Callithrix jacchus: one gene and its partners. The protein of the gene in region 6 binds, or shares a complex with, the protein of the main gene of each other region. Links are inferred from orthologs where the notes say so. Each region holds a gene or a part of one and is shown on either strand. Other genes may lie near its edges.

Region 1 (4,058 bases), on a different chromosome or scaffold from region 6:
GATCTCTGTGCTATGTGTTGATTGATGAATGGAGGATTCAGTACTGGTTCTCTGATGATCCAAAAAGATCTAATTTTGCAATTAAGATTAATTGCACTGAATAAGCATTATGAAGAATGGAGAGGAATACAATTCAGCCCTAACCCTTACAGATTTATTAAAGGCAAGATTAATACATAGAAAATATTCTGGAGGATACTCTGATACTGACTACAAGTACCAAAGGAAAAGTTTTTTTTTTTTTTTAAATAAAAAAGAAAGAAAAAGATATAAAAACACACAAGAATATATCCCATCACATCCAAGGAAATAGGATTTTAATTGGTGCAGGGGAGGTGGTGGTTAGTGGCCAATCTAATTAGTTGAAAGGGAAGGGAGAAGAACATTCCAGGGTGGAATAAACAAGGGAACAACCTGGAACTTTAATAGAACTGTGAACTCAAAAACATGAAGGGATTAAGGACAGTAAATCCTTAGGGATTTGATCCACGTCAGTTTTCCAGTGAAAGCAATCCATGCCTAAAACTTCATTACTACCTGCATTTTTTTACTTCATTTTTCTGTATAGAATTCAAACAATTCAATATTCATTTGAGTTGGTATTAAGCTGTATGTTTGAATGAATTCCTTCAATCAGATTTCTTCTCATTCCAGATATGCACTACTCTCATAAAGTTTTGAATAGGAAAGGTAAGAAATTTTGGCACACAGAGCCCTTAGGAAGTGTTGCAGTAGAGTTTAAAGGAAGATGAGGTCACTAAATCCCGGGCATTTGATAGGGGTGAGCAGAGTACACCAGGATAAGAGACATAAGTACAGAGGGGACCTGGCATAAAAGCAGGCTTTTGTTTTTAAATTTTGCCTAAGATCAGCTATACAATGGTATAAAGGAAAAAAAAGGGTCTTGGAGTCAAAGAGCCCTGGGTTTGAAGCCCAGATCTGCCATTTACTGCTTTGAGACTTTTGGTAATCATTATTCTTTGTAAGCCTTGGTTTTCTTCATTCTAGGCTGAAGTAAAGAATTTAGTAAAGCATCCGGCACTCAGTGGGCATTTAATAAATATCTATTTCCTCCTCCTCCTCCTCACATGACCACATACATAGGCTATAACAACTCAGGCTAGTACTAAAATTCAACTATACTATATTTTAAATGTTGGGGGTGCTGTCAAATCAATTTAATCATCATTTTAACTGACTTATGAACAAATTTTTTTTTTTTTTTGAGACAGAGTCTTCCTCTGTCGCCAAGGCTGGAGTGTAGTGGCACGATCTTCGCTCACTGTTACCTCTGCCTCCTGGGTTCAAGTGATTCTCCTGCCTCGGTCTCCCAAGTATCTGGGACTACAGGCATGCGCCACCACACCCAGCTAATTTTTGTATTTTACAAATACAAAATACATGGTGATAAAAATACAAATACATAGTGAGACACGGTTTCACCATGTTGGCCAGGCTGGTTTTGAACTCCTGACCTCAAGTGATCCACCTGCTTCAGCCTCCCAAAGTGCTAGATTACAGGCATGAGCTACTGCACCCTGACTGAACAGACTTTTAGATAGTTTACTACAATTAGGGCAGTCTTAATTCTGCATATTTCTATGCTAAATTACCATACTGTGAAATATGCTTTGACAGCAAAAAAAAGCTAATGGATGCAGTAATGGAAACAATATCCAAGTTACAGAAATAAATAGCCCTGCTGTACTTAACTCCGATCAGATCACTTCAGGGATAATACATCCAACTCAGGCACTACATATGAAACTAGAACTCAGCCTGAAAAGGCAATTAGGATAATTCTTTTTATTTGAGAACTGTTATAAAGTTACTGCATTTAACCCTCACAATATCATGAAGCTGGTATGGCAGGCATTAATTCTATTTTAGAGATGTAGAAAATTGAGGCTCAGAGAAAACAGGAATGAATCTGGAAATTGAGCACAGATACCACACACATCCAAAATTTCAAAATCCTTTAGAAAGTACTTAAAATTGGGGGAGAGTTTGGGAGGAGGGAGGGTTAAACTGTATTGAAAAACAGATTAGGAAGAACGATAACACTATATTTATACACACAGCTACACAAGTGTACACTGTGGAGGCAAAGACAGTTTGTGGAAAACTACATAAGGTATTGTTAGCAGCACTGCCTTTGAGGAGCAGAAGTGATAGACGAGGAAGACCCACTTACTTCCCTGAACTCTTGGAATTAAATTACTACGCGCCTATATTACATAGAACACGTGGAAATTAAAGTTTTAGACCATCGTGCAAGAACTAGATGTATGCTGGGTGAACCCACCGAGCAGAGCACAGACACAGAGGGGAAATGTACTTTCCAGGAGCACACATTCACCAAACATCATTTAAAGAGCTGTCCAGCATCGGAGTGGCGTCCCCAAAACCCGTGAGTTCCCGCCCTCTGGTCCTACCACTGTAGGAGGGGCCAACCAGAGATCTGGGCTCGATCAAAGACCCCAGAGACTCTCCCAAAGCCGAACCCCCTCCTCCGAGAGAGCGGAGGGGCCGACCAGCCATTACCTCGCAGAGGCTGAAGAGTCCGTAGGCCGCCAGCCACACCGTGCAGGTGACAGCCGTAAGCGAACGCAGCGAGAGCCGAGGGCAGCTGAGGCAGAACTCCCGGCAGGACGGGGAGTAGTAGCGGCGCTGCAGGGCCAGGCGGCCGCCGCAGATATCCGAAAAGCTCCGCTCATCCTCCATGACTGGCTTGCCCCTACTAGGCGGCCCGCACTGCACCGCGTTCTTCTGCTCTCCCAGCCTCGCCAGCTCCAGACCCGCTTCCGGCAGTCGCGTCACCACGCCCCGCCCCTAAGCCCGCGCAGCCTCAGTTGCGCGCCAAGAGCCCTCCTGGGGTCTGAGTCTGAGAAAGGGAATGGTCAGACCCATCTCTTGAATGGTGAGTCATGTGTTTTAACAACGTTTCTTGTTCACCAGATACACTTCATTAAAAAGCGAAGTGGGGCCGGGCGCGGTGGCTCACGCCTGTAATACCAGCACTTTGGGAGGCCGAGGCGGGTGGATCACGAGGTCAAGAGATCGAGACCATCCTGGTCAACATGGTGAAACCCCCGTCTCTACTAAAAATACAAAAAAAATAGCTGGGCATGGTGGCGCATGCCTGTAATCCCAGCTACTCAGGAGGCTGAGGCGGGAGAATTGCCTGAACCCAGGAGGCGGAAGTTACAGTGAGCCAAGATCGTGCCATTGCACTCCAGCCTGGGTAACAAGAGCGAAACTCCGTCTCAAAAAAAAAAAAAAAAAAAAAAGCGAAGTGACAGTCAGAAAAGTGAAGTGACTTAGCCAAGGTCATACAACTTGGAAGCAGCAGATCAGGAAGAAAAATCCAGGTCACCTGCTAGGTAGGCTAGTCTTCCGTCCAAGGGCATACTAGACCCAGGTCAACTCAGCCATGTGGGGCTGCCAGATGTTTCTGCATGTGGATAAAGAGAAACAGGCCAAGGGCTACGAGGGGGCAGAATAAGCTAGAAACTCCCAGAACTTTGGTCCTAGAAGGGCCCTTAAGAATTATCCAGGCTGGGCATGGGGGCTCATGTCTGTAATTCCGGCATTTTGGGAGACTGAGGTGGGCAGATCACCTGAGGCCAGGAGTTCAAGACCAACCTGGCCAACATGACAAAACCCCTTCTCCACTAAAAGCTCGGCCTTGGCCCAGCTTCTGTAATTGTCTTCGTACAAAGTTTGTTGGGGGCAACAATTCAGTGGACAGATTAAAACGCTTTTAGGCCAGGCGCGTTGGCTCACACTTCCAGTGCTTTGGGAGGCCAAGGCGGGAGGATCGCTGGAGCCTGGGAGGTCGAGGTTGCAGCGAGCCGAGATCATGCCACTGCTCTCCAGCCTGGGTGACAGAGCGAGACCCTGTCTCGAAACAAACCCGTAGTTTGTTTTTGTTTTTGTTTTGAGACGGAGTGGAGCAAATTTAGCTCACTGCAACATCTGTTCCCTGGGTTCAAGCAATTCTCCGGCCTCAGCCTCTGAGTAGCTAGAATTACAGGCACCCACCACCACATCTGGCT
Region 2 (3,553 bases), on a different chromosome or scaffold from region 6:
ACTTTGGGAGTCCAAGGTGGGTGGATGACAAGGTCAGGATATCAAGGTGATCCTGGCCAACACGGTGAAACCCCATCTCTACATAAAAAAAGAAAAAAGTTAGCCAGGCGTGGTGGCGTATGCCTGTGATCCTAGCTACTTGGGAGGCTGAGGCACTTGAACCCACAGGCAGAGGCTGCAGTGAGCCAAGATCGCACCACTGCACTCCAGCCTGGGAGACAGAGCAGGACTCCATCTTAAAAAAAAAAAAAGAAAAAAAGAGAGAGAAACAAATTGTTACATAATTCAGTAAGATGTTTAAAAATTACTGTAGCAGCTATGTTTCTGCCTCAGTATCATTAATACTTTTCCTTACTGATAGAGGTTATTGCTCAAAAGAGAAAGATACGACTATGTAATCTACTGCTGCCAAATTGCTTCCCAATTCACAATATGCATTTTAAATAGACTTGCTTTGGTAGATGAAATGCTTCATCAATTCCACAGCTGAAAAGAACCCAATTCTAAAAGCCTGCTCTAAATGGATTTTCTAGTTTAAGAAATTTGAGATGCATTTTTAAGGAAAGGGCAGAGGTGTGTATTTCTTTTACAGATCATACAGATACAGCCATGATATAGCTATAAACATTTCATCAGTTAACATTATCTTACTTCTGACATCTATTGGGTATAAAGATTCATGATTCCAGTATTTATAAAGAATATTTCAAATTATTCTCCATGTAAAAAATTCTACATTCACTTACTCTAATCAAAGCAGCAATACTTTATGCAAAAAAACCATATACATTTATTTATAGGTCTTAATACAGCAAAATGTAAATGAAAATTGAGACCATTAAAACTCATTAGGCCAACAACTTTAAAATTACTTAATCTGAAATATAGAAGTTCTTCATAAAAAAGATGTGTGAAGTTTACCTTACCTTATGGTTTATACTTTAAGAGTACATTTTATCAAAATCAGTAACCAGGCTTCTTTCATGTTTAAAGTGAAATGAACATAAGTATAAATGATTATATTTCTTTTATGTAGTAGCAAAAAGAGTCAATAATCCTCTCAAGAAAGATACTATTTCATTTCCTCCCAACTTGGATTCACCATAAACACGATCCACAAATGATATTGGAACCTAGTTAAAAACAAAAAACAAAAAACATTAAAGTCAGTCTTCAAAAATAATTAGGTAGCTTAGCAGGTATACCATATTACCAACACAACAGAAACAGGACTAAAAAAAAGTCCTAAAAAGAAGTCCTTAAAGTAAGTACTTTAGGATTCTTAAAGCAACTATGTGTAGCCGGGTGCGGTGGCTCACGCCTGTAATCCTAGCACTTTGGGAGAGTAAGACGGGTGGATCACCTGAGGTCAGGAGTTCAAGACCAGCCTGGCCAACATGGTGAAACCCCATCTTTAAAAAAAAAAAAAAAAACAACTATGTGTATCTCCAAGTCTTTAAAATTAAATGCATCATCTAAAGATAGGTCACATGAACCAATCTACAACTGTTTAAAATGCACTGATCCTAGGTATCACCTTGGTTTACTCAAGTTTCAGTTTGCATTTCAAAGAAAAATTATACCCCAAAAGTAAAGCGGCCTTTTGCTTAGATTTTTCAGTTGTTTGTCAAATTTAGCTATAACAGCTTAGCATTAAGTAAAACATCTTGCAACTTCCACGGGAGAAGTGACATTTCAGGTTAGTTATTTTCTTGCTATGAATAAGAGTTTTACTAGTAAATGAGGAGTCTTCCCTACCCTAAGAGCTCACTCGCTAGCCCTAAGTATTACAGATCACCACTCCCTTGGCTCTGTAATTCCTGGTCTTCACTTACAGGAAATGGACATATGGGATTCATCATTCATTTTAAAGTATGGTGGACACTGGCTGTGGCAAAAGGAAAAGCAGAGACTCAGTCCATAATGCTGACCGGTTAGAAGGAAGGCTAGGATTGAGAAAGTACCAGGAACTTTCCATTATTTAAAAGAGAATGCTAACTGTTAATGTTTTAAATCTTATTGTTCAAATGTACTAATGTGAATTTTTACCATTTGTGCATGAACATTCTAAACAACCAGAAGACCTCCACAATTTAGCAGTTATGAAAGTGAAACTTTACCCCTCCTTTACCAGGAACATGACATACTATTTAGCATCAGCTGCATACCTCGCCAATAGTGTAATTCAACTGTCTTGCCCGAACAATCATCTCCATCTGGAAGACATAGCCTTTAGAAACACATTTTTCTATTAATTTCTCTAGAACTTCTTTGCGGTATAATCTGTAAGAAATCAGAATAAATAAATAAATATATATATATATATATAAATATATATATCTCAACTTCTGGATAAATACACTTGCCTAACATGTATCTTGACCTTTCAAAGAGTTCACTGGTATGTATAAAGCCTAAAACTTCCACTGGCCATTGGTAAACAGAAAAGCTCACAAAGTTGATGATTATGATACATTTGTCCTAAGCAAGAAAGGCCATTAAATATTTGCTAAATAACTTAGAATAATTTTGAAAATGAATTCTCAGTATCTTTTAGAGAATTATTTTCCCGTCATACTATCAGAAATTATTGAAATAGAGTAAAATGAATCATTTGATGCAGAAGCATACATTATTTAAGATTTCCTTAAATTTTAAAGTTGAAGAAACTGTTCCAAACATTGAAACTGTTGTACAGAGTGGACAAATGATGATGAAGCAACAATATATAAGAGATGACAAAAAAAGAACCTCAAAATTAACAGTCATTTCCCAATAAATGTTTATGGTAAGTTTTGATTTCTCATGATTTCCTTTATAAATTCCCTAGGATAAACTAAGTCCCTCTAGGATGAGCTTGGGAAGCTAGGTTAAAACAGGAACTAGACATCACAGGATAGAAAAAATGCTGGTGGGATTCACCTATCACCAATCGAGGTCAGTTAGACACTTAACAGCAAGTGAATGTGCAGCCTAACTTTAGATGGACTGCAGGCCAAATACCAGATTTACAAGGTGAGACAGTGGAGTTGGGCTGTCCAGTGGGTAAACCCAAGCACTTTTTTCAGTAACCAAATAGCAAGGAGCTCCCTATTTTCAGAGTCACAGACACTGTAACTTTTTTTTTTTTAAAGATTAGTGTCTCAGTAGGGAGGCAGCAATTTCTACCTTTTTTTGTGGGGAGAGGGGAGAAAACTAGGAGAGGTAGTTTGGTGAAACTTTGTTCTTTTCAAAGTTAAGGCCATCTGGACCTACTGTGCCTCAGAGTTTCACCTTGAATCCACATTTTTTCCCTCAGACTTCTAAGGCGACAGTATCTTTTGACTATGAAGTGAGTATAGGACAGCACAGCCCTTAGAAGAACCCAACAGAGCTTAGTGTGTGCACTCCTTTATCCACACAGTCTCCTTAAGGATTCAAAGGAATAAATTTGGAATAAATATGAAGAGAGGAGAATCTGATGGTATTTATTCAATAACAAACATTTATTTACCAACATAACAGGTTTCAGATACTTTTTCGTGTTTTGCCTTATAGAATGAACTAAAAACTA
Region 3 (4,328 bases), on a different chromosome or scaffold from region 6:
GGGCACCAAGCTCATCGTGACAGCAGCTCTGCCTGTGAGGGGCCAGCGCTTCTGGCTGAGTGACCACCAGCAGGGATCACCCGGCACAGCCCACCTTTCAGCAACAGCCAGCCAGGACGCTCCAGCTCAGCCCAGGGACCCATCACGCCCTACTGGGAAACAGCTTTCACAGGAACTAAGGAAAACTGCCCACAGATAGTCAGAGAAGAAACACAATCAGCCTAACAGTAAACAGATGTACTGGGGGGAGCGGGTTGTGCATCGGGCTCACTTTGGGTAAATTCACCGAGCTATGCATGTGCTCACGATACCGGCGCTTTCTTTGTGTGTATGCTTTGTGCTTTATCTACAAACTTTACCTTAAGAAAAAAAGCAGCAGCTCCTTGTGTCTACTGACTGAGATGGGAGGGCAGTGAGAGAGAACTCAACCCACTACGGGGCAAACGCCCATCACGCTCCCACCTCAGCCTCTGGGAGCGACGACTACACAAAGAAGCCTGCGCTAGCGGCTGCCGGGATCACACAGCCAGAGGAAGATGAAAGAGCAGCAATCGATAGCAGAGGAGGTGCGGGACGGGAGGAAGAGCGCAGAAACTCGGGCAATGTGAGCATCTTTAAAGACTGAGATTAAAAAAAAAACAAAAAAACAAAACAGTAAAGGGCACCAGGCTAGCCAGAAAAGCTTCCTCTGCTAAGAAGGATCCTGAGTGCTCTTGTCCAGAGCAGGCAGCTAGGGAGGGCTCCAGGACACCCCTCCCCACAAAGCTTAGGGTCAAAACTCAACCACAGACAGTAGTGACTTTCCTCTCTTCCCCTGAATGCAGGAATGGCGGAACCTCAGCCCAGTTGGGACAGGCCAGGGCCATCTCTGACTGAGCCGCCCCTCTCTGCCGCCGCTCCACAAGAGCTCAGGAGAACTTGCGTGTCCCAGTGCCTTGTTTGAAAAAATAAGCATGAGCCTGGCGAGGTGGCTCACGCCTGTAATCCCAGCACTCTGGGAGGCCAAGGCGGGAGAATCAATCCAGGTCAGGAGTTCCAGACCTGCCAGGATGGGGGTGAAACCCCGTTTCAACTGAAAATACAAAAATTAGCTGGGTGTGGAGACAGGCTACAGGTCCCAGCTACTCGGGAGGCTGAAGCAGGAGAATCACTTGAACCCGGAGGCAGAGGTTGCAGTGAGCCAAGATCACACCACTGCACCCCAGCCTGAGTGACAAGGCGAGACTCCCTCTCAAAATCAATACATAGGCGGGGCGCAGTGGCTTGCGCCTGTAATCCCACCTTGGGAGGCTGAGGCGGGTGGATCACGAAGTCAGGGGTTCGAGACCAGCCCGGCCAACATGGTGAAACCCCGTCGCTACTAAAAATGCAAAAAATTGGCCGGGCGCGGTGGCTCAAGCCTGTAATCCCAGCACTTTGGGAGGCTGAGGCGGGTGGATCACGAGGTCAAGAGATCGAGACCATCCTGGTCAACATGTGAAACCCCCGTCTCCACTAAAAATACAAAAAATTAGCTGGGCATGGTGGCACGTGCCTGTAGTGCCAGCTACTCGGGAGGCTGAGGCAGGAGAATTGCCTGAACCCAGGAGGCGGACGTTGCGGTGACCCGAGATCGCGCCATTGCACTCCAGCCTGGGTAACAAGAGCGAAACTCCGTCTCAAAAAAAAAAAAAAAATGCAAAAAATTATCCGGGCGTGGTGGCGGGTGCCTGTAACCCCAGCTACTGCGGAGGCGGAGGCAGAGAACTGCTTGAACCCGGAGGCGGAGCTTGCAGTGAGCCGAGATCGCGCCCTTGCACTGCAGCCTGGGCACCGTGGGGAGAACCCGTCTCAAGAAAACCCAAACAAACGCTCGCTCGTCTTCCTGAGGCCGGGAAGAGCCTGTGATTCTTTTTTTCGCCCTTTCCTGCGACTCGGGACAACTGCGACGGGCCCACAGCCCGGCCCGGACCCCGGCCGCCCCTGCCCAAGGTCTACGGAAGCCGGGTCGGCGCGGGTCGGAGGCGCAGGCCCAGGGGCCGCCCCACTTCCCGGAGGAGGAGGAACCAGCAGCCCCGCGGGGGGCGGGCGGGGCCCCCAGCCCGGGCCCAGAGCCGCAGGGGCGCTGCCCGAGGTCCCGCCGCGCCCTCCCACCGCCCCGCTCACCGGCTGCTCCGGGGGCCGCGCGCTCGGGCCGGGGGTGGGGGGGGGATCCGGAAGGGGTTGAACCCCGTTGGGCGGGCCCGGGCGGATGACGGCGCTCGCAGCCCCCAGCCCCGCCGCGGGACCCGAGCCCCACTTCCGCCGGCTCCGCACGTTGCCGCGCGACGGTCCGGCCCCCAAAGGCGCCCGGGCTGCCCGCCCGCCCAGTCCGAGCGTTCCGCGGCGCAGCCCGGTCCCCAGGCCCGGACCTCCCGCGCCTCCCCGGGGCCGCCAGCGCTGCCTCAGCTCCGCTTCCTCCGGCGAGAGACACCGACGACCCCGCCCGGCCCCCCGCCTCCCCGGGTGAACGGGCCCAGCCCCTGCGGGGTTCCAGAGGGCCCGGGCCCCAGCCCGCTCCGCCCCTCGCCCTGCAGTCTGCAGAGGGGCCGCCCCCAAATCCCCGAGGCCGGCGGTGCCGGGGACTTTGAGGCCCGGGTAGGAGCCCCCCAGGGGCTGCAGCCAGCGATCGTCAGGCGGGAACGCGGGCGTCCGGCGCCTCCGGGTGCGAGGAACGTGACCCCGGCGCAGACCCGCCCGCGGCAGCAGCCCCGGTTCACTGAGCACCTACCACGTTCCCCAATTAATCCCCCCCACAGGGCTCAGGCGCGTGAGGACCTCTCGGGGGGGACGTCCTGTGACGCAGGGGAGCCCCCCTCCCACCCCACAGGGGAAGGGCCAGACACTGCCCCCTCCCGGCTCCCCTCCCCATGCCAGCCCCTCCCTGGACCCCAGACCCGCAGAGTAACCCAGGCGCCTCTCCTTTCACGCCTTCTTTCCCCAGTTGCAAAATGGAGGCAGAGGGTTAGATCCCCGAGGCTGGTGGATCACGAAGTCAGGGGTTCGAGACCAGCCCGGCCAACGTGGTGAAACCTCGTCGCTACTAAAAATGCAAAAAATTATCCGGGCGTGGTGGCGGGTGCCTGCTTTTTTTTTTTTTTTTTCCCCCCCCCAGTTTCCCCCCACCCCACCCCCAAGACGGAATCTTGCTCTGTTGCCCAGGCTGGAGTGCAGTGGCACAATCTCGGCTCACTGCAACTTCTGCCTCCCGGGTTCAAGCAATTCTTCTGCCTCAGCCTCCTGAGTAGCTGGGATTACAGGCACGCGCCGCTACACCCGGCTGATTTTTTGTATTTTTAGTAAAGTCGGGGTTTCACGGTGTTCGCAAGGATGGTCTCCATCTCCTGACCTTGTGATCCACCCACGTCGGCCTCCTGAAGCTGGGATTACAGGCTGAGGGATTACAGGTGAGCCCCCGAGCCCGGCCTTTTCTCAGTCTTCTAAAGCAGCAGGAGTCTGTCCTTAGAGGAAGGCTCCCCCAGGCCCTCAAGTGCGGAGCTGTTTGTCCCCATTTGCAGAATGAAGGCCCAGCCTTCATTCACGGGACGTGGAAGAAAAGGCATCCAGGTTTCAACCATTCATGGGCCTCCAGACACCTCCAGGGCTGCCTCCCCCTTACCTCTGCCAGGCCCAGAAAAGCTACTGGAGGCTCAGGACTGTAGGTGCCTCTAACTGGGACACTTAGGGCTACACCCCTGCCCCAGGTCGCCAAGCCCAGCCCAGCTGCACCCTCCCTGCCTGTCTGCCTCTGATTAGGAGGCCTGGGTGGGGGCACCAGGAGAGAGCATGCCTAGCCATGTGCCGGCAGCTGGCCCGACATGCCCACCATCACTCAAGGCTTCAGCTGCCAGCTGCAAAGTTCATGCACAGGGCCTGAGTGGACTTGGGGTGCATAAATGCAGGGGCCATGGCGCTCAATGGGGACAGCAGAGACTGGCCCTGGCTGGGGAGGCTGCAGGCCTGGCAGGGGCAGCCTGGGAGGCACTAACTCAGGAGCCTCACCAGCAGGAGGACTGGGCCCAGCCCAAGCAGTGCTGGCATCAGGCTGGCAAGGCCCACAGCCTGCAGGCTCCACCCACACTGAAGGTTCCTCCCATGGTGATCCAAGGGCCTTGGAGCTGGCCCCAGGCACAGGAGGGCTGCTCCAGCCCAGCTGAAGGTCAGGCCAGCTGCTTGAGGCCCTGGTACACCTTGATGGAGTTGTCCTTGGCATCGGCCACCAGGAGCTGGCCCTGGGCCGCCCAAGCCCCTGTGACACCAGGCATATGGGTGACCCAGACCAGGGAAACAGGGTCACCTGGCGCCTCTGC
Region 4 (2,554 bases), on a different chromosome or scaffold from region 6:
GCTGTAAGCTCAAAAGGGTACAAACTACTACTTGCAAGTCTTCGACCCCTCACTTTCCTGGGAAATGATTCTAGAGAGGAAGTACCTCTCTAAACACAGCCTATGTTTAGTGCAGTTTTACAACTTCCCTTTGTATCAATCACACTTCTGTGACCAAACAAATGACTACTGCAAACTGGTTTATTTCATCTTTTATGGTAAAGTGTCAACATCTTTATTGCTAATATAAGCAGTTAATGTCAAAGAAATGAAGGTAATTTTACAAACTTAATTTCTGTTAAGTACCTGAAATTTCTATTTGATGATATGGTTTTATATCACACTTGTTCAAATGCATTTGTCTCCCTTAGAGAGAGTATTTCAACATCACTCCTTTAGAATTATTTCAGTCATTCCTAACATGTGACTTTACCAAAGACCTTAAACTTAACAAACAAGCAAAACAAAATTTCAATAACTTTTAGATGAACAGAATAAGAAATACTCATGACATGACAATTGGGGATGTTCATCTCCAACAAGACACTGTCAAAATGTTTTCTCTGATACAGCAGTTATAAGTCAGAGCCTGCAAAACACAAGGGCAGAGCAAGAGTACAACAAAAGAAGCATCTGCAACTTAAGTCTCCCACAGTCCTAAGCCTGATATACACAAAGCAAAGCCTCTTTCCTGCAAACTTCCATCCAGTTGAGCTTTCAGAGATAGATGCCCAAGAGCTATTATTAATAAATATAGCATATTGACACTAGTTACATCAATTATGCCTGAAGAGTTTAATACCCATCCAAGTCCAAAGGTGGAAGAATACATACACTGGTATGGAAATAGGCAAGAGCAAACTGTAAAAGCAAAGGCTGGCTGTGCTAGTGCAGCCCTGTGGGAAGTTTTCTTCCACAGAGGCCGAGTAGAACAGTCCTGCTAAAGAAACCAGTGGAATAAGAACAGTCAACGTAGGAAGAGACATAAACATTCTTCTCTTCCAATTATTACCCTCCACTATGTTTTAAAAGGTATACGGTATTAAGAAAAGTCAGCTGTTGGGTTTTTTTTATTTTTTTTAATTATGAACTAGCGCTGCTCCAGTTCTTCTTGCTTCTTACTTTGATGCGTCATCCTAGCTGCCTGCGGTATCATATTAGGAATCCCATCAATGATTGGATAAGCTATTCCCAATTCTTCATTAATCAATTCATTTGTTGATGCTTCATATCTGAGGTTGAAAAAAAAAAAGAACAAAATGAATTGTGAAAAATAAAATGCTTGAAGAGCCTGATTTTCAACAAATACCACCATTTATCCAATTCTCGGTATAGAGTTAGTTAATCCCAGAGTAGTCTTCTTCAATTCTAAAAGCAACAATAGCCAATTCAACCTTTTATCTTAAAAAAAATTCTCTTAGAATCTATAATTATTCCCATTTTAGTCGGTTTCTCTCATATTCTCTTTTTCGCCTTATTCACAAGTTATTCCTTAATTTCGTTTTTATAGTAGTCAGAAAAGATCCCCCTCTTACCCAAATATTCCTTCACTACTTCGGTCAACCCTCAAACCATCTCTGTAAATTTACTACTGGAACAAACACTAGAGAAAAATCAACTTCTTCATTTTAGAATAAATGCTAAATAGAGAAACTTAACTAATCCATTAGAAGGAAATAACTGGAAAAGGTGAGAGGGCAGAAATGAGAAAACACTGGAAAGCAGTGAGTCTGCGGTGAGCTAGTTATAAAGGCAAATCAAGTAATTTCAAGGTTTGAGAAAATTGAATAATATTATGGGAAAAAAAGAAATATGAAAAAACTGCTAGCAATCTACCATTCAAAGATAGTCCCTGATAACATTTTGGTGTTTAGTTTATGCGATTTGTAATACTAGTGTTAATGTTGTTGATATTCAATTCTGGTAGCTTGGAAACTGTAGAGCTGTTTTCCCAAAAACTAGGTTAAAGAGGTTTCTACGAAACCTGCTAGTCCACAACTAAGAGCCACTGGGCAGCACACACAGGTGAAATGCTTAAGATTGTCAGGCACCAGTTGTACACGACACCTTCACAAGAATCTGGAGGGTACAACAATACTTTTCATCATCTTGGCTTAAAAACCAGAAGGCTTTGGCCTTGTCCTGAATCGCAGTGGTTCATAAACCTGGTTATACCTTAGAAATCATTTCGGGGTCGTTTAAGAACACACAAATAAGCTGGGAGTGGGGGCGGCGCCTGTATCCCCCAGCTCCTTAGGAGGCTGAAGCCGGAGTTCTAGGCCAGCCTGGGCAACGTAAGGAGCACCCTGTCTCTTAACAGGAAAAAAGAAAAAAAAAAAAATACAAATGTTCAGGTCTCATCCCTCGGACATTCCGAGTCTGCTGGTCTTGGGGGCTGTCGGGGAATCGGCATTTTTAAAACGGTCCCCGGGTGATTGCATTGCGCAGCCGGTGGCGAACCTAAAACGCTTCAAGCCATTCCCGTAGTCTGGCGATGTGGTCGGGCAGATGTGGGACGCGGCTCCCCTGGCCTCCGGTCTCCCGGTCCTGCGGGGCCAGAGTCCAGAAAATGGCA
Region 5 (4,351 bases), on a different chromosome or scaffold from region 6:
GCTCTAGGATTTGAGCCCTAGATAAATCAAAGAGCGAGCATTAGCCCACAGAAAAGGGTAGAGAGAAGTGACTTTACGTACACACACACATATACACACACATTCTCTCTTTACTCTTCATGCTCTTCTGTCTGCCTACTATTTATGGAAAAATCATGAGACAACTTGATGAATGTGTTATTTTTTTTAATAGAAACCACATCACTTCATATGTTACAGTATGTAATTCAAGAGACCCCCAGAAAGTTTTTTCATCCACAAAATAATAGAAAGGATGAGCTCCCTTACCACCCAGGGAGTTTTGAAATAAGACCTCCCTGGAAATTCCATGCTGCGGTTGATGTTCTACCTACTTTTCCTTGTTTTCAGTCTTTGGTTCATTTTTTTGTTTTGATCTCTATTCTCTTACCACAATGACATGCTGCTTCCAGAATGGAACTCTGTCTTCAAGTTTTATACTAGTTAAGAGGCCAGTCTGTCAGCTTGCCTTAATATGTAATGGATGTCCTAATTTAGCTGAGGAACCTGGACAAGTCTTCCTTGATTTCAGCTTCATCCCAAGGCCCATGAATGTTTTCTTTAAAAAGCTGCAAGCGAATGAGGTAGAATGGACAGAGACATGAGATAGATACCAGCAGAAGGGCAAAGAGTATGGCTCCCACAGCACTAATGGACAGTAGGCCTCCCAAGGCTGAAAACGCAAACATCAGTGTGACCCCCACATAGCTCCGGGGAGTACATGCCTTTAGTTTCTTCTGTAACATGGGCCATAGGGCAAAGATCTGAATGGCAAATGTCACCATGATGAAGGCATGCAGGGAGCGGGGAAGGCGTGATGCCAAGCATACAGAAGCAAAGATGGCCATGTTCAAGGACAGTGTGCTGGATACAATGGCAGCATTGGCACCATAGTCAAAAAAAATGAGATGGCCTAACAGCATGAAGACTGACATGGCATAGATGGTGTCAGTGCTGACAGACTCTGTCAGGGTCTTTAGCACTGGTGAAAACCCATAAGTGAAAGTAATGAAGACTAGGGCACTCTTCAGGTCAGCCCACCGTGTCTGCCCACTCTTCCTTCGCCCTTCACCTCCATCAATGAGATCAAACAAAACATACCCAATCAGTGAAGAAGCCAGGCCAGCCCCAAAAAGCCAATGGGGGGCCAAAAGACCCTCATCCATATACCACCAGATAACTACAAAAACACAAACACTGCACAGCTGTTGGATCACCACACTGGACTCAAATACCACAGCCCAATATTGGTATTTCCGAGCGTGGATGTTTTTCCGAAGCTCTTCCAGGAACCGCCGGTCCACATAGTTATCTGGAAAGGGCTGTCGCTCATACAAGATCTTCTGCCACTTGACCTCCTTGGTGTTAGTTACAGGTTGGGCACACATTATCCTTTCATTCAAACTCAGGCCAGTTTAATCACTGCCCTCACAGAAGTCCGGGTGGTTCCTGTTCTCTATGAAGTTTTGAAATGAGACCTCCCTGGAAATTCCACGCTGTGGTTGATGTTCTACTGAACTTTCCTTGTTTTCAAAGGCAGCAACCCAGGCTAGGCCTACAACAGATGAGTTTGTCTCTGAAGCAGGACAACACAGCCAGGTTCCTAGAAAAAGAGAGACTGTGAACCTATGAAAGTTGTGAAAGGTCAAGGGTAGTACTGAGTTAAAGCCAAATCATTCAGTTTACTAAAAGTCTGAGCAAAATGTATTTGGTAGTCACCTTATCAATTTGGGATATTAAAACTGCATTTCAGATTTGAAAATTGTAATTCCTTGAATAATAATATGCATCTGTTAGCTATCACTTATTGAGTGCCTACTATGTGCTAAGTGCCTTATGTATCTTCTTTCACTTAATCCTCACAACCTTGCAAGTTAGTATTAGTCCTGCTTTAGTAAAAAAGCTGAGATTCAAAATGCTTAAGTAACTTTGCCGTAAGGTAACAGGGCGGAGCCAGCGTTCAAACCAGTCTTATCCCAAAGCCTGTGTCTCACATTGTATTTCCCTCTAAACCAGTTCATAACTCTCTGGTTCACATACCCCTCAGGTATATCACATTGCATGCTTATATCTGCATTTGTGTAAATTTATAGGGAAAATATCCATAGCTTTTATTGGTTCTCAAAGGCATGTTGTTTATATTTTTTAAGTTACCGATCCAAAGACAATAAATAGTAAGCTGCACTATACAGAAAGATACGAGTGCTGCAGTTTATTTAGCCAAAATCAAAGACTCAAAGAAACTACACTTTTCTTCCATTAGCTGAGCTTAGCATACTTTAAAGAGCTATCATTCTACTCAAAACGGCGAAACTCTTGCGAGGATCGAAGAAGATAATCATCCCTTTTTCACAATGGGAAAACTAAGAGTCAGCAACACCACAGCCATCTGGCAAATCAGAGGAAAATAATTTCATAAATGCCCGACCTAACTTCTTCCATGAAGACAAGTGCTGCTTGGCAAGTCAGACACCATTATTCCTCTCTCCGCTGCGGGGATCCCAGCCCAGGAATTTCAAGGCTATCGCCGGGGTTGGAGGGTCTGCGGCGCCCAAAAGGGCAGCGCCCGCCGGCAAAGTGGAGTTGGGAGGGGACAGGATAGGATAGGGTGACCCCAGGGGCGTGCCATCACTCTCCAGGTCTCCCACTCCCGCCGCCGCCCCTCACCCAGCCTTAGGCCTGCGGGGGACAGCAGAGGAGAAGGAGCCCCGGAAACACACGATTACGTGGAACCCACCTGCCCGAGAATTCCTGGGGATGCGCAGCTGCGGGGCGGCGGCCCTCAGACTTTTTCCCCCTCCGGTGTGCCGGGGCTGCGACTGTGGCCGAGTACTTCCGGGTCCTCCGCTATCTCCTCCGCGAGGGTGCCCTTCCCCAGCTTGAGCCACCGCGCCGAGGCTGCTGCCCTCTCCTGGCTGCTCAGAGACCGCCAGGCTCCCCTCCTGAAGATAGGCCTAAACCCGAACGCTCTAAACTTAGGAAAGCAAATCCCCAACAATCCCCTACAGCAAAACGGGATGTGCCATCTGAAGGGCTGGGTAAAGCAGGAGAGGGACAGGAAAAGAGGCTGGGCCAGTAGGTGAGAGATAATGGCCACTTCCGTTGCGCTCCTTTTATTAAGTCAGGCCCTCAGCTAGGGACTTCCCTGCATGCCTTCATTCCACAGATACTGGCTGAATGCGTGCAGGTAGCAAGCCCTGTTTGTGATGCTCACGATGCAGCCCTGAACTAAACACAAAAACTGCTGCTCTCATGAAACTCTCTTTTTTGTGCATTGATCTTTACACTGATTATATCATCTCCCCTCTCAAAGAGGACAAATCTAAGGCTTAGATAAATTGTATTTGTCCAAAGACAGGCACCTGGGAAGTAGATGAACAGAGATCAATATCCAGTTGTCTATAGCTTCGAAGCTTGGTTTTTCTCCTCTTTACCTCCTAAGAGGGGTGAGGAGAAGACTGCTAATTCAAGTGAGTTCATGGAAATATTAAAGGATGTATGAACAGATGGAGGTAATAAAGAAACAAAGGGATGTAGTAAAACACAGGTTACACTGGAAACGAAAGTTAGAAAACATGACCCATTTACTAGCTCCATGACTGAGGTCAAATCACACTATCTGACCTTTGATTTCTTCATCAGTAAAATGGAGATGACACTATTTGCACTTGGTTGCTTTATGGGATGGCTAAAGAGTTAAATATAAAATATAAAAATGTTTTGTAAAGTGTTTACTATATGGTTCCTGTTAGCTGACTTTGGCCATCATAATGAGAGCAATGCTCAAGAGTGATACATTCTGTAAACATGATCTCTATTTCCCTCTAGGCTTCTGTTCAAAAATTTGACAAGATTCCTTGGCTTAGTGAGGCCAGCCTTGTAAACAAGCCATTAGTGCTCAGCCTCCCCAGAAGGTAACCTCTCAGCCACTGAAGGCAAAAGTTTTATGAAACGTCTACAGAAGATGATTTCGTCTTACGGGATGGGGACAGTTATCAGAGGGCACATTTGATCCATTGGGAAACCCAAGTCAAGTGCTTTAAAAGTAGAAATATTCTGGGTTTCTCAGATGAAAATTATCACTGAATATAGGCCTTACTCTTAATAAGTACTCTATCTCTTAGTGCTTTTGTTCCTTAAGACTTTGAGTTTCTTGAAACTCTAATTGTCTGCTTTAGATATATTCAAAATTATGTAAAAATAACACAACTGAATAATGAGCACTTGAAAGCACTTGTGCATTTTGTTCTGAAAATACATAAAACTGTCTACCTGTTTATTGAGAATGTGATTTTTTTTTCATGTGTAGACAAAGCAAAGGTGTGTGTTACTA
Region 6 (4,171 bases):
AGTGCACAGGTTCAGGGCAGGAGGCCCCAAGGCACCCCCATTGCACATGATCTCCTGACCCAAGACTGATGGGGGGGGCCAGTTCCTAGCCCCCTCCAGCCCCAACTCTCAGGAAACACAGCACAAAAACAAATACACAATCAGTCAGCATTTATTGGTCAGCTCTCCCAAATAGGCCTGCCCTGGGGTTGGGGGGCTGGGCCTCCATGAGGAGTGGTCAATCAGTGGGCCCGGGGTAGCTCATAATGTGCCCTGAGCCCTACGGGTGGTCCTGGGGTCTGTCAGTCCTTCCCCAGGCTTTCCAGGTCCAGAAGGGCTTGTGGGGAGTGGCGCTGTGTCAGGCTAAGGAAAGTTGCCTTGGTGGAGGAGAGGGCTTGTGGAGAGAGGTCAGAGGTCACAAATGCAGCCTTAGAACCTGCTAAGTCCAATGTCAGCATGTGACAGGAGAGGAAATGAGGCATGATGGCAGAACCCCGGGGAAAAGGTGGCAGGGGGTCTGAGAGTGAGATTGGGAGGACCAGCATCTTTCAGGCCCTGGGCAAGAAAGGGGTGACCTTTCTTGTGTCCCTCCCTCCTAGCTTCTGGAAGGGAGAGCAGGGGAGGGGGGTCCAGTCAGTCAGGGCTAAGTTCCATGCTATGGGGACTCTGCAGGACAGCCAGGCTTGGGGCGCCACTGTGCCTGGGAAGGTTCTGCAGGCTCCCAGGCTTGGTCCCTGCCCTGGAGGGGAGGCAGAGAAGGGGCTGGCAGCCTCATCCCCGCAGGACCTTCACTGAGTCTTCTTGGTCACCCTCTCACTCTTCAGCATCACGTAGGTGATGAACAGTCCTGGAATACACAGACCAGAAAGGCCACGTAATATCTGGGCTCAGGGCTGCTGGGAGGTCAGGGCATGACACGGCAGAGCCACCCACCTGCAGGGCTGTGTACCTACCCACCCACCCTCTAGGGGACCTGCTCATCTCCCCAGTCATTCATCAAGCCATAGGTCCATTCACATTCATTCAACAAACACCAACTGAGTGCCTGCCTCAGGCAAGATGCTGAATTTAATGTTTCAGATTCCAAGGGGAACAAGATCCACCCATCTATCGATCACCCAATGAACCACTTGTCCACCTACCTACCTGCCCACCACCTACACCTCACCCACCCACCCATCCATCCACTCATCATCCAGGCACCCGGCTGTTGACTGACTCATCCAAATGACTTTGAGCACAACCTCAGTGCCACAGCCCATTCTAGATGCACAGTAATGATGGAGACACAGTCCCCATCCCTAGAAAGCCATGAGACAGAGAGGGGCAGGAATTAGAAGTCAGGGTGATGAGAGGGTGACTGAGGTGAGCAGAGTGATGATGGGGTTGGGGGAAGAAAAGAGGGGGACAGGTCACTGGAGTCCAAAAAGCCTGAGGCACCAGGAGGCCCAGAGGCTACTGACTGGCAGCCTTGAAGGATAACAGGAAAACCCCAGGGGTGACTGCAGGGCAGGGAGCTTCCAGCAGTGCCAAAGTGTGGAAGCACCTTCTGAGGTGGGTCCTCCCGAAACCCTGCCCAGGGTCAAGGGGAGGAGGTGATGACTTACCCACAAACAGGAGTAGCAGGAGGCCTGCGGCCATCGGGATGGCAACAGCGTAGGCACGGGGCAGGAAATACTTGTGGATGACATGCTGGCTGTCGATGAATGGCTGGCATCGAGGGCAGAGCTCTGGTGAGCCTTGCTCGCCTTGCCCAGCCCCCAAACATCCCACCTCCTCCATCTAAGGGGCTGACCCATTCAGAGCATTGGGACTGGATTTGCTTTTCTTTAAGATTATGGGATTTGGGTGTCCTGTTTTTTCCCTTCCTTAATTTTTTTTCTCTTGAGCAATGTGATGGTTAATACTGATCCTTCCTTAATTTCTTACTGGTATTTACCAGGCACTTGCTTTGGTGCCTGCCACAGGTTGGTGGTGGGGACAAGAGATCTGCCCCAAGGCACTCACAGCCTAGCAAATGGTACATGAGGAATCCTCGATTGATTCCCAACCTGGGCCTCCAGGCTTTTTCACTAATATTTTTTCTTTAAAAATAACCACGTTCTGCACTTCCAAACACACTGCACTTCTTAAGTAATGACCAACAAGTTTTCCCACAAGAAAAAAATATATCCTAAAGGCCTTCACAAATATCACTGGCGCTCGCCATGGCCAAGAGTCAGCAGGATAACCCAGAAGGAATAGAACTCCTCCAAAAGTCAAAGCAAGCTGGAAACAGAGTTTTACGCGTAGCGGTTAAGGATGTAATCTTGAGCTTCATCCTTCTCCCCGAGCCTCAGCTATCTCATATATAAAATGCGGCACCAATGGCATCTTCCTCATAGAATTGTTCTGGAGGTTTCATGAGACGAGGCAGGCAATGATGCCAGTGCCGTGCCTAGCGCTTATATTGTAGCTGCTTTGGCGGTGCCAGAGCTCGGGGAAGGTGAGCAGCGGGCGGGGAGAATGACATACCAAGAGAATCACCCAGGCGGTGTAGTAGGTGAAGATGATCAGGCTAACGGCGACGAGGCCGAGTCCCACCACCTGGTCTGTCCCCGTGGCCTGGAGAAAAGGGAAGTCTCAGCTGACAAAGTGACTCTCCATTTCCGCGCACTAATGGAAGCCGGGCGTCGCGGCCGTTATCACTGTCTAAGCTTCCATTCATTCAACAGATGCTAGAGGGCTGACTAGGGATCAGTTTCTAGGCTGGGAGAGAATGCCAAGCCTCGCTGTTGTCCGTACAATGGGCAGGCGGGAGAGCAATCCCCGTTTCAAGTGCCCAAGTCCCAGCTCCTGAGCAGACCCGGGACCCCACCCCCAGACGCCCGTATCTCCGGCACTCGGTCCCAATCTCACCATTTCCCCCGGCGCTAAGTTACCGGAGCCACAAGCAACATCCGGTTCCGGGTCACGCTTTTCCGGTTTGGACCGCGGAGCACGCCGGGAGTTGTAGTTCCAGGTCCGGCTCAGGTTTCAGGCCCCACGTCGTCCGAGACTAGCAGGAACCGCCTTCTTCCCTTTGCATTTCGGGAAATGTAGTTCTTCCCTTTGCATTTCGGGAAATGTAGTTCTCAAGGAAATGGCCTGGCCGGTTGCTGCCCGAATCTCCCTAGGGAATGGGACCCAGTTGGGAACCCAGACTCCCTGGCCTTCATGGCCATAGTTCTGTAGCCGTCCCACCATAAGCTAATCTCTAAACATTCCAGAGTCCTGGAGCCAGAGTGGGATGGGAGTGAGGGATCGGAAGTTCCATTTTTCAGATGGGAAAAGCGAGGCTCAGAGGGGTAGATCCCAATCCTAGTCAGTGGTGAAACCGAAACGGGTGGGAGAGGTGCAGAGAATGTTCACTTTCCGGCCTGGGATGGGTGGGGGAGGGTCCGTCTGGAGCCCGCATGGATGGGGAGGATTTGGATTGGTGGAGAGGGGACTCCCCCTCACCATCTCCCGGTCTCCCGGGCCACCCTTCGGATGTCCCCTCCCTCCCTTCACTGGGTGCCTCTTGGAGCAGCCCAAACACGTTTCGGAGCGAGACCCGCGCACAGGCCCCTCCCCAGTCTTGGAGGGCTCTTCCCCTGAGAACAAAGCGATGTTGGGCCAGATCATCTTTCACGCTTCTCCAGCTATAGAGACAGGAACGCGGTCCCTCGCCACTCATGCATGGGGCGGCTGCTCCTCCGGGTCTCACTTGTCACCGCGTCCCTAAGGGAAGCCAGCCGTGAAGGCTTTTTATTTTTTTTGAAATGAAGTCTTGCTTTTGTCACTTAGGCTGGATGGAGTACAATGGTACAATCTCAGCTCACTGCAACCTCCGCCTCCCGGGTCCAAGTGATTCTCCTGCCTCGGTCTCCCGAGTAGCCGAGATTACAGGAGCCCACCACCACACCCAGCTAAATTTTGTATTTTTAGTAGAGACGGGGTTTCGCCATGTTGGCCAGGGTGGTCTCGAACTCATGACCTCGTGATCTGCCGGCCTCGGCCTCCCAAAGTGCTGGTATTACAGGCATGAGCCACTGAGCCTAGCTTTTTTTAAGTTCTATGTTGCCCAGGCTGGTGTCAAACTCCTGGACTCAAACGATCCTCCCAACTCAGCCTCCCAAAGTCTTAGAATTACAGGCGTGAGCCACCATGCCCAGTCCCCTGTGCCTTTTAA
Region 7 (4,124 bases), on a different chromosome or scaffold from region 6:
GGCATAGCCCGGTAGGCGTGTGCATATATTTTGAAAGGCCTGTGCAACTGAGAGGCTTTTGGCGTCCAGGGCGCCTCTGGAAAAGGCATGACGCACTGGTACCAACCCAAATTCGCCTACGTCTCAGCTCCATTTTTTATCTTTGATCAGCTTATTCTGTCCTCTGAACAGGCCACACTGACAGCGTCAACACTGCGGAGCAGGGGGCCAGACTCGATCTTGTCCTCCCCCTGCCCGTTAGCGTCTGTCGGGGGAGGATACTCAAAGAGGCGCGGGGGCGAGGGGAGCGCCGGGGTTACCCCCCCCCGCGTCCGTTCCGTGGGAACAGGCCCTGAACTGGACTGCCAGTTCCCACGAAAACAGGTGGCAACAAAGTGGTGAACACACGCACACAGAGCAAGGGGTGCGCATGAACGTTCACGAACACGCACCAGCGAAACCTGCACACAAAAGATACGCACTCGACAGGACTAAACGCGCACACAAGAGATCACGCACTCGACAGGACCCATGCGCAGACACTCTGGGGACACTCGGGGACACGCACCTCGCGCAAGCGAGGCTCTAGGCGGGGGTCGCGATCGCAGGAGGCGCGGCCACGCGCGCTGGGGGACGCGCAGCCCACAGACCAGAGCAGTGACACAAAGGGGGGCCCCCCGCAGAGGCCGAGAGCGCCTACGCAGCCGCCAGGGAGCACGGACACCGACACAAAGGGGGCCACATGGCGACACGCGAGCGTGGGCCCCTGCACCCATAGGGGATGTCAGCCACGCACCGGCCGACGCACGGGCAGGGGAGATGCGCACAAAGGGAGTACTCCCACCCTCGCCCTGGCATCGCAGGGCCTCGCTCGCGAAGGGGGCACCAGACCAAGGGGAAAAACCCACTGGGGCAGGCAATGGCGGCCACACCCCCTCATCTCGCGGGACCCCAGCCCACGCAAACACAGCAGGCACGGCAGCGAGGGACGCGGGGCGACGCGCACACACCCACACTCACCACACACCCACAGAGGGGGTGTGGAAGACCCCGCTCCCCCGGCATCTCGGCTGCAGCAGGACAAGTTGACACATCCGGGAGCCCTGCCGCACGCTGGATGTGCACTCACCGGGGCCCGCCGCCCGCGAGCCTCGACGCGGGCCGGCGCCACCGCCGCAGCCGCCGCCGCCGCCGCCACCTCCGGCCCTCCAAGTCAGCTGACAGCTGGAGGGAGCGAGCGGAGGCGCTAAAGGCAGGTGCGTCACGTGGGCTAGCAGCGCGCAGGCGCAGTAGCGCTGCACCGCCCCCTCCTTCGTCGCCGCGAGCCAAACGGATCCCGCGGGCCCCCGCGCTCTCTGGCTCCTACCCGAGGAGGGTCGTCGTGCGCCTGCGCCAGGGTGGGAGCGCCGTCGCTAGGCCTTTCACTCAGTTTTTTGTCTTTCCGCCCCCACTGCGGCTACCAAGTCGGCGCCTGCGCAGAGATCTCAGCGCTGAGGCGGCAGAGGTGTCGGGCGGGGCCTGGGTGGGCGTATGAAAGACCCCAGGTCGAGGCCCCCGGTATATCCCAGCTCGAAAGAGAAACAGAAGCCCCCATGAGTGGACAGGGCCCGGGGCCTGGGTGCCGTGACCTAGTAGGCCCGCGTGCTCGTGGGCGCCGCGGGAGCGTTGTTCTCCGCTCTCCCCTCCCTTCCCGCGGGAAGGCCACGCTCGCAGAGCTGGAGCGCGCGTCTATTATCCCATTCCCCTCTCCCTGCCCTATCCCGCGCCGCCCCTTCTGCGGGGCACGCGCCAGCCTGGGTCCCTGTGTGCGCGCGAGGTGGGGGCGCGGGTTGCGGGCGGGCACCGTCCCCGCTGCGAAGCGCTGGGGCGAGATTGGCCCACTGGTGCGGAGGAGCACGTCGCTGACGGCTAACTGTGTTCCTTTTCCGCAGATTGTCTAAAGCCCTAGGAAAAATGGTGGAAAATTCACCGTCGCCATTGCCAGAAAGAGCGATTTATGGCTTTGTTCTTTTCTTAGGCTCCCAATTTGTCTTCAGTAAGTACTTTCCCGATGGATGGCCAGGGGCTTTTTCTGGCATTCAGTGACAAGGGAAGAATGCATTGGTTAGACTGTGCACACACCAACTGTTGATTCTTTCTCCCTATGTCTCTTTTTAAGAAAATCAGAAGGGAGCTCGTGTTTGTTGAGTGTTGTACGCCAGCACTAGCCTAGGTGGTTTTAGTCTCTACAAATATTTATACAGCACCAGACACGATGGCAGAGTGAATAAAGCCTGGTCCCTGCCCTGAAGGAGGTAGTGGTCTTGTGGAGGAGACAGATAAGTAAATCTACAGTTAATGCTCAGTGTGACGAGTGTCAGGGGAGCACAGCGGAGAGACATTGAAACCAGACTGGAAAGTCAAGGCTTTCATCCCCCCACCCCCACCCAGACACTGATGCTGAGTAGGAGGGAGGGGAGAAGTGGAAAGGCTGTGAGAGGATTTGGACATGAGGACCTTGATACGGCTCCAGTGTGCCCTGTGGGATCTGAGGAACAAGAGGTGTAGGCCAGAGAAGTTCGGTTGAAAGGTGGATTCTTTGCATCCTGCATCTCCCTTAATCCCCATAACTGTCCATTTAGGGATAAGGAGGGTGACGCTCACTGAGACACTAATATGCCCAGTCACACAAGTGAGTAAGCAAGCCCCAAGTCTCTCCCCAAAAGGATTTGGGAATTATGAGGCACGCAAGAGAGAGGAAATTGAGTGTCCCTGAGCCAACGTTCTGGAACTCTTTGGAAACCAGGAAAGTAGAAGAGGGGTAGTACTTCTGAACCCTAACTGAACTATGTCAGCCTGTACCATCGGTACAACTTGCCGACAATGAAATGGCCAGGCTGTTAGAACTGAAGTGAAAAAGTTACAGCTGAGTTCAAATTCTGACTCCACAGGTGAGCCATGTGAGCTGGCAGCCTCAGGTTCCCTACCTGTAAAAGGTAATGATAATTATGGTTCTTAAATGCTTATGACGCATGAAACAACCCTATGGGGGAGTTTCTGTTGTTATTGTCCTCACTTTAGAGATGAACATACTGGGTTTCAGTAATTTGCCCTAGGTTGCAAAGCTGCTAAATGATAAGCCTCTAAATTTGAACCCAAATACACTGGCTGACTTCACTCTGCTCCCTCTTCTGACTGTTGCTAGGATTAGCGGGTAATTTATGTAAAACACGTAAAACAATGCCTAGAAACAGTTACGTGCTAATAAATGTTAGCTACTCATGTTATTGTTAGCACTTTTGTAAATCCTTGTTTAAAGAGAGTCTCAAAGATTAGAAGCTATATGAGTAAATAAAAGCAATCACTTTAAGACTTAAATTCTGGCCGGGTACAGTGGCTCACGCATGTAATCCCAGCACTTTGGGAGGCTGAGGCCGGCCGGTTACCTGAGGTCAGGAGTTCGAGACCATCCTGACCAACATGGAGAAACCCCGTCTCTACTAAAGTAGCAAAATTAGCCAGGTGTGCTGGCACGTGCCTGTAGTCCCGGCTATTTGGGAGGCTGAGACAGGAGAATTGCTTGAACCTGGGAGGTGGAGGTTGTGGTGAGCCGAGATCTCACCATTGCATTCCACCCTGGGCAACAAGAGTGAAACTTCATCTCAAAAAAAAAAAAAAAAAGACTTAAATTTCATGATATCCACAACCAAAAATTAACTCAAGTATTTATTGAGTGCTTACCATGTGCCAGGCACTGTTACAGGCCAGGAAGGACCAAAACAGTCCAAAATGCCCTGCTTTCATAGAGTCTTTATTCTAACGTTGTGGGGAGGTAGTCAATGGACGAATTAAATAAGAAAAACATACACAGTATCAGGTGCTCACATGTACTGTGGGGAGAAATTAAACAAGGGCAGGAGGACACTGAGTGGAAGGAGGTCCTTCTAATGTGCTTCTGTGTCATCTTTTGCTATTCATGAGCACTCATCACAATGTAGTGAAAATACCAATTTACTCTTGATTCACTACTAGACTTTGAGTTTAGGGAGCCCAGAAGCCACCTGTTTTTGATTCAGTATTGTGCCTCACACTCCTGACATACAGAATTCTGTAATACATATTTGTTAAGAAAAGAATGCATCATCACTGATGTAATAGGTAGGTAA

The links.
Region 1: DPM2 (region 6) and PIGH share a complex: the UniProt entries of both Homo sapiens proteins name them as parts of the glycosylphosphatidylinositol-N-acetylglucosaminyltransferase (GPI-GnT) complex. The link is inferred for Callithrix jacchus from reciprocal best matches to the Homo sapiens genes DPM2 and PIGH.
Region 2: DPM2 (region 6) and DPM1 share a complex: the UniProt entries of both Homo sapiens proteins name them as parts of the dolichol-phosphate mannose (DPM) synthase complex. The link is inferred for Callithrix jacchus from reciprocal best matches to the Homo sapiens genes DPM2 and DPM1.
Region 3: DPM2 (region 6) and PIGQ share a complex: the UniProt entries of both Homo sapiens proteins name them as parts of the glycosylphosphatidylinositol-N-acetylglucosaminyltransferase (GPI-GnT) complex. The link is inferred for Callithrix jacchus from reciprocal best matches to the Homo sapiens genes DPM2 and PIGQ.
Region 4: DPM2 (region 6) and PIGY share a complex: the UniProt entries of both Homo sapiens proteins name them as parts of the glycosylphosphatidylinositol-N-acetylglucosaminyltransferase (GPI-GnT) complex. The link is inferred for Callithrix jacchus from reciprocal best matches to the Homo sapiens genes DPM2 and PIGY.
Region 5: DPM2 (region 6) and PIGC share a complex: the UniProt entries of both Homo sapiens proteins name them as parts of the glycosylphosphatidylinositol-N-acetylglucosaminyltransferase (GPI-GnT) complex. The link is inferred for Callithrix jacchus from reciprocal best matches to the Homo sapiens genes DPM2 and PIGC.
Region 7: DPM2 (region 6) and PIGP share a complex: the UniProt entries of both Homo sapiens proteins name them as parts of the glycosylphosphatidylinositol-N-acetylglucosaminyltransferase (GPI-GnT) complex. The link is inferred for Callithrix jacchus from reciprocal best matches to the Homo sapiens genes DPM2 and PIGP.

Annotation. Positions count from the first base shown.
Region 1 is NC_133509.1:102,593,107-102,597,164, forward strand, and holds the start of PIGH (phosphatidylinositol N-acetylglucosaminyltransferase subunit H), read right to left. Parts: upstream 2,810-4,058; 5' UTR 2,725-2,809; coding exon 2,545-2,724; intron 1-2,544. UniProt on the Homo sapiens protein: Part of the glycosylphosphatidylinositol-N-acetylglucosaminyltransferase (GPI-GnT) complex that catalyzes the transfer of N-acetylglucosamine from UDP-N-acetylglucosamine to phosphatidylinositol and participates in the first step of GPI biosynthesis.
Region 2 is NC_133506.1:46,465,355-46,468,907, forward strand, and holds the end of DPM1 (dolichol-phosphate mannosyltransferase subunit 1), read right to left. Parts: intron 2,284-3,553; coding exon 2,169-2,283; intron 1,136-2,168; exon of another isoform or gene 1,134-1,135; coding exon 1,029-1,133; 3' UTR 554-1,028; downstream 1-553. UniProt on the Homo sapiens protein: Transfers mannose from GDP-mannose to dolichol monophosphate to form dolichol phosphate mannose (Dol-P-Man) which is the mannosyl donor in pathways leading to N-glycosylation, glycosyl phosphatidylinositol membrane anchoring, and O-mannosylation of proteins; catalytic subunit of the dolichol-phosphate mannose (DPM) synthase complex.
Region 3 is NC_133513.1:2,826,826-2,831,153, reverse strand, and holds the start of PIGQ (phosphatidylinositol N-acetylglucosaminyltransferase subunit Q), read right to left. Parts: upstream 2,821-4,328; 5' UTR 2,750-2,820; intron 2,321-2,749; exon of another isoform or gene 2,146-2,320; intron 622-2,145; exon of another isoform or gene 360-621; intron 1-359. UniProt on the Homo sapiens protein: Part of the glycosylphosphatidylinositol-N-acetylglucosaminyltransferase (GPI-GnT) complex that catalyzes the transfer of N-acetylglucosamine from UDP-N-acetylglucosamine to phosphatidylinositol and participates in the first step of GPI biosynthesis.
Region 4 is NC_133504.1:109,148,140-109,150,693, reverse strand, and holds PIGY (phosphatidylinositol N-acetylglucosaminyltransferase subunit Y), read right to left. Parts: upstream 1,070-2,554; 5' UTR 972-1,069; coding exon 756-971; 3' UTR 508-755; downstream 1-507. Other genes in the region: PYURF (protein preY, mitochondrial), read right to left, coding at 1,070-1,216. UniProt on the Homo sapiens protein: Part of the glycosylphosphatidylinositol-N-acetylglucosaminyltransferase (GPI-GnT) complex that catalyzes the transfer of N-acetylglucosamine from UDP-N-acetylglucosamine to phosphatidylinositol and participates in the first step of GPI biosynthesis.
Region 5 is NC_133519.1:30,305,904-30,310,254, reverse strand, and holds PIGC (phosphatidylinositol N-acetylglucosaminyltransferase subunit C), read right to left. Parts: upstream 2,865-4,351; 5' UTR 2,756-2,864; exon of another isoform or gene 2,447-2,755; intron 1,645-2,446; 5' UTR 1,407-1,644; coding exon 513-1,406; 3' UTR 170-512; downstream 1-169. UniProt on the Homo sapiens protein: Part of the glycosylphosphatidylinositol-N-acetylglucosaminyltransferase (GPI-GnT) complex that catalyzes the transfer of N-acetylglucosamine from UDP-N-acetylglucosamine to phosphatidylinositol and participates in the first step of GPI biosynthesis.
Region 6 is NC_133502.1:176,562,741-176,566,911, forward strand, and holds DPM2 (dolichol phosphate-mannose biosynthesis regulatory protein), read right to left. Parts: upstream 2,910-4,171; 5' UTR 2,881-2,909; coding exon 2,878-2,880; intron 2,584-2,877; coding exon 2,494-2,583; intron 1,690-2,493; coding exon 1,587-1,689; intron 827-1,586; coding exon 768-826; 3' UTR 134-767; downstream 1-133. UniProt on the Homo sapiens protein: Regulates the biosynthesis of dolichol phosphate-mannose. Regulatory subunit of the dolichol-phosphate mannose (DPM) synthase complex; essential for the ER localization and stable expression of DPM1.
Region 7 is NC_133522.1:43,067,448-43,071,571, reverse strand, and holds the start of PIGP (phosphatidylinositol N-acetylglucosaminyltransferase subunit P), read left to right. Parts: upstream 1-1,293; 5' UTR 1,294-1,501; intron 1,502-1,910; 5' UTR 1,911-1,932; coding exon 1,933-2,014; intron 2,015-2,909; coding exon 2,910-2,954; intron 2,955-4,124. UniProt on the Homo sapiens protein: Part of the glycosylphosphatidylinositol-N-acetylglucosaminyltransferase (GPI-GnT) complex that catalyzes the transfer of N-acetylglucosamine from UDP-N-acetylglucosamine to phosphatidylinositol and participates in the first step of GPI biosynthesis.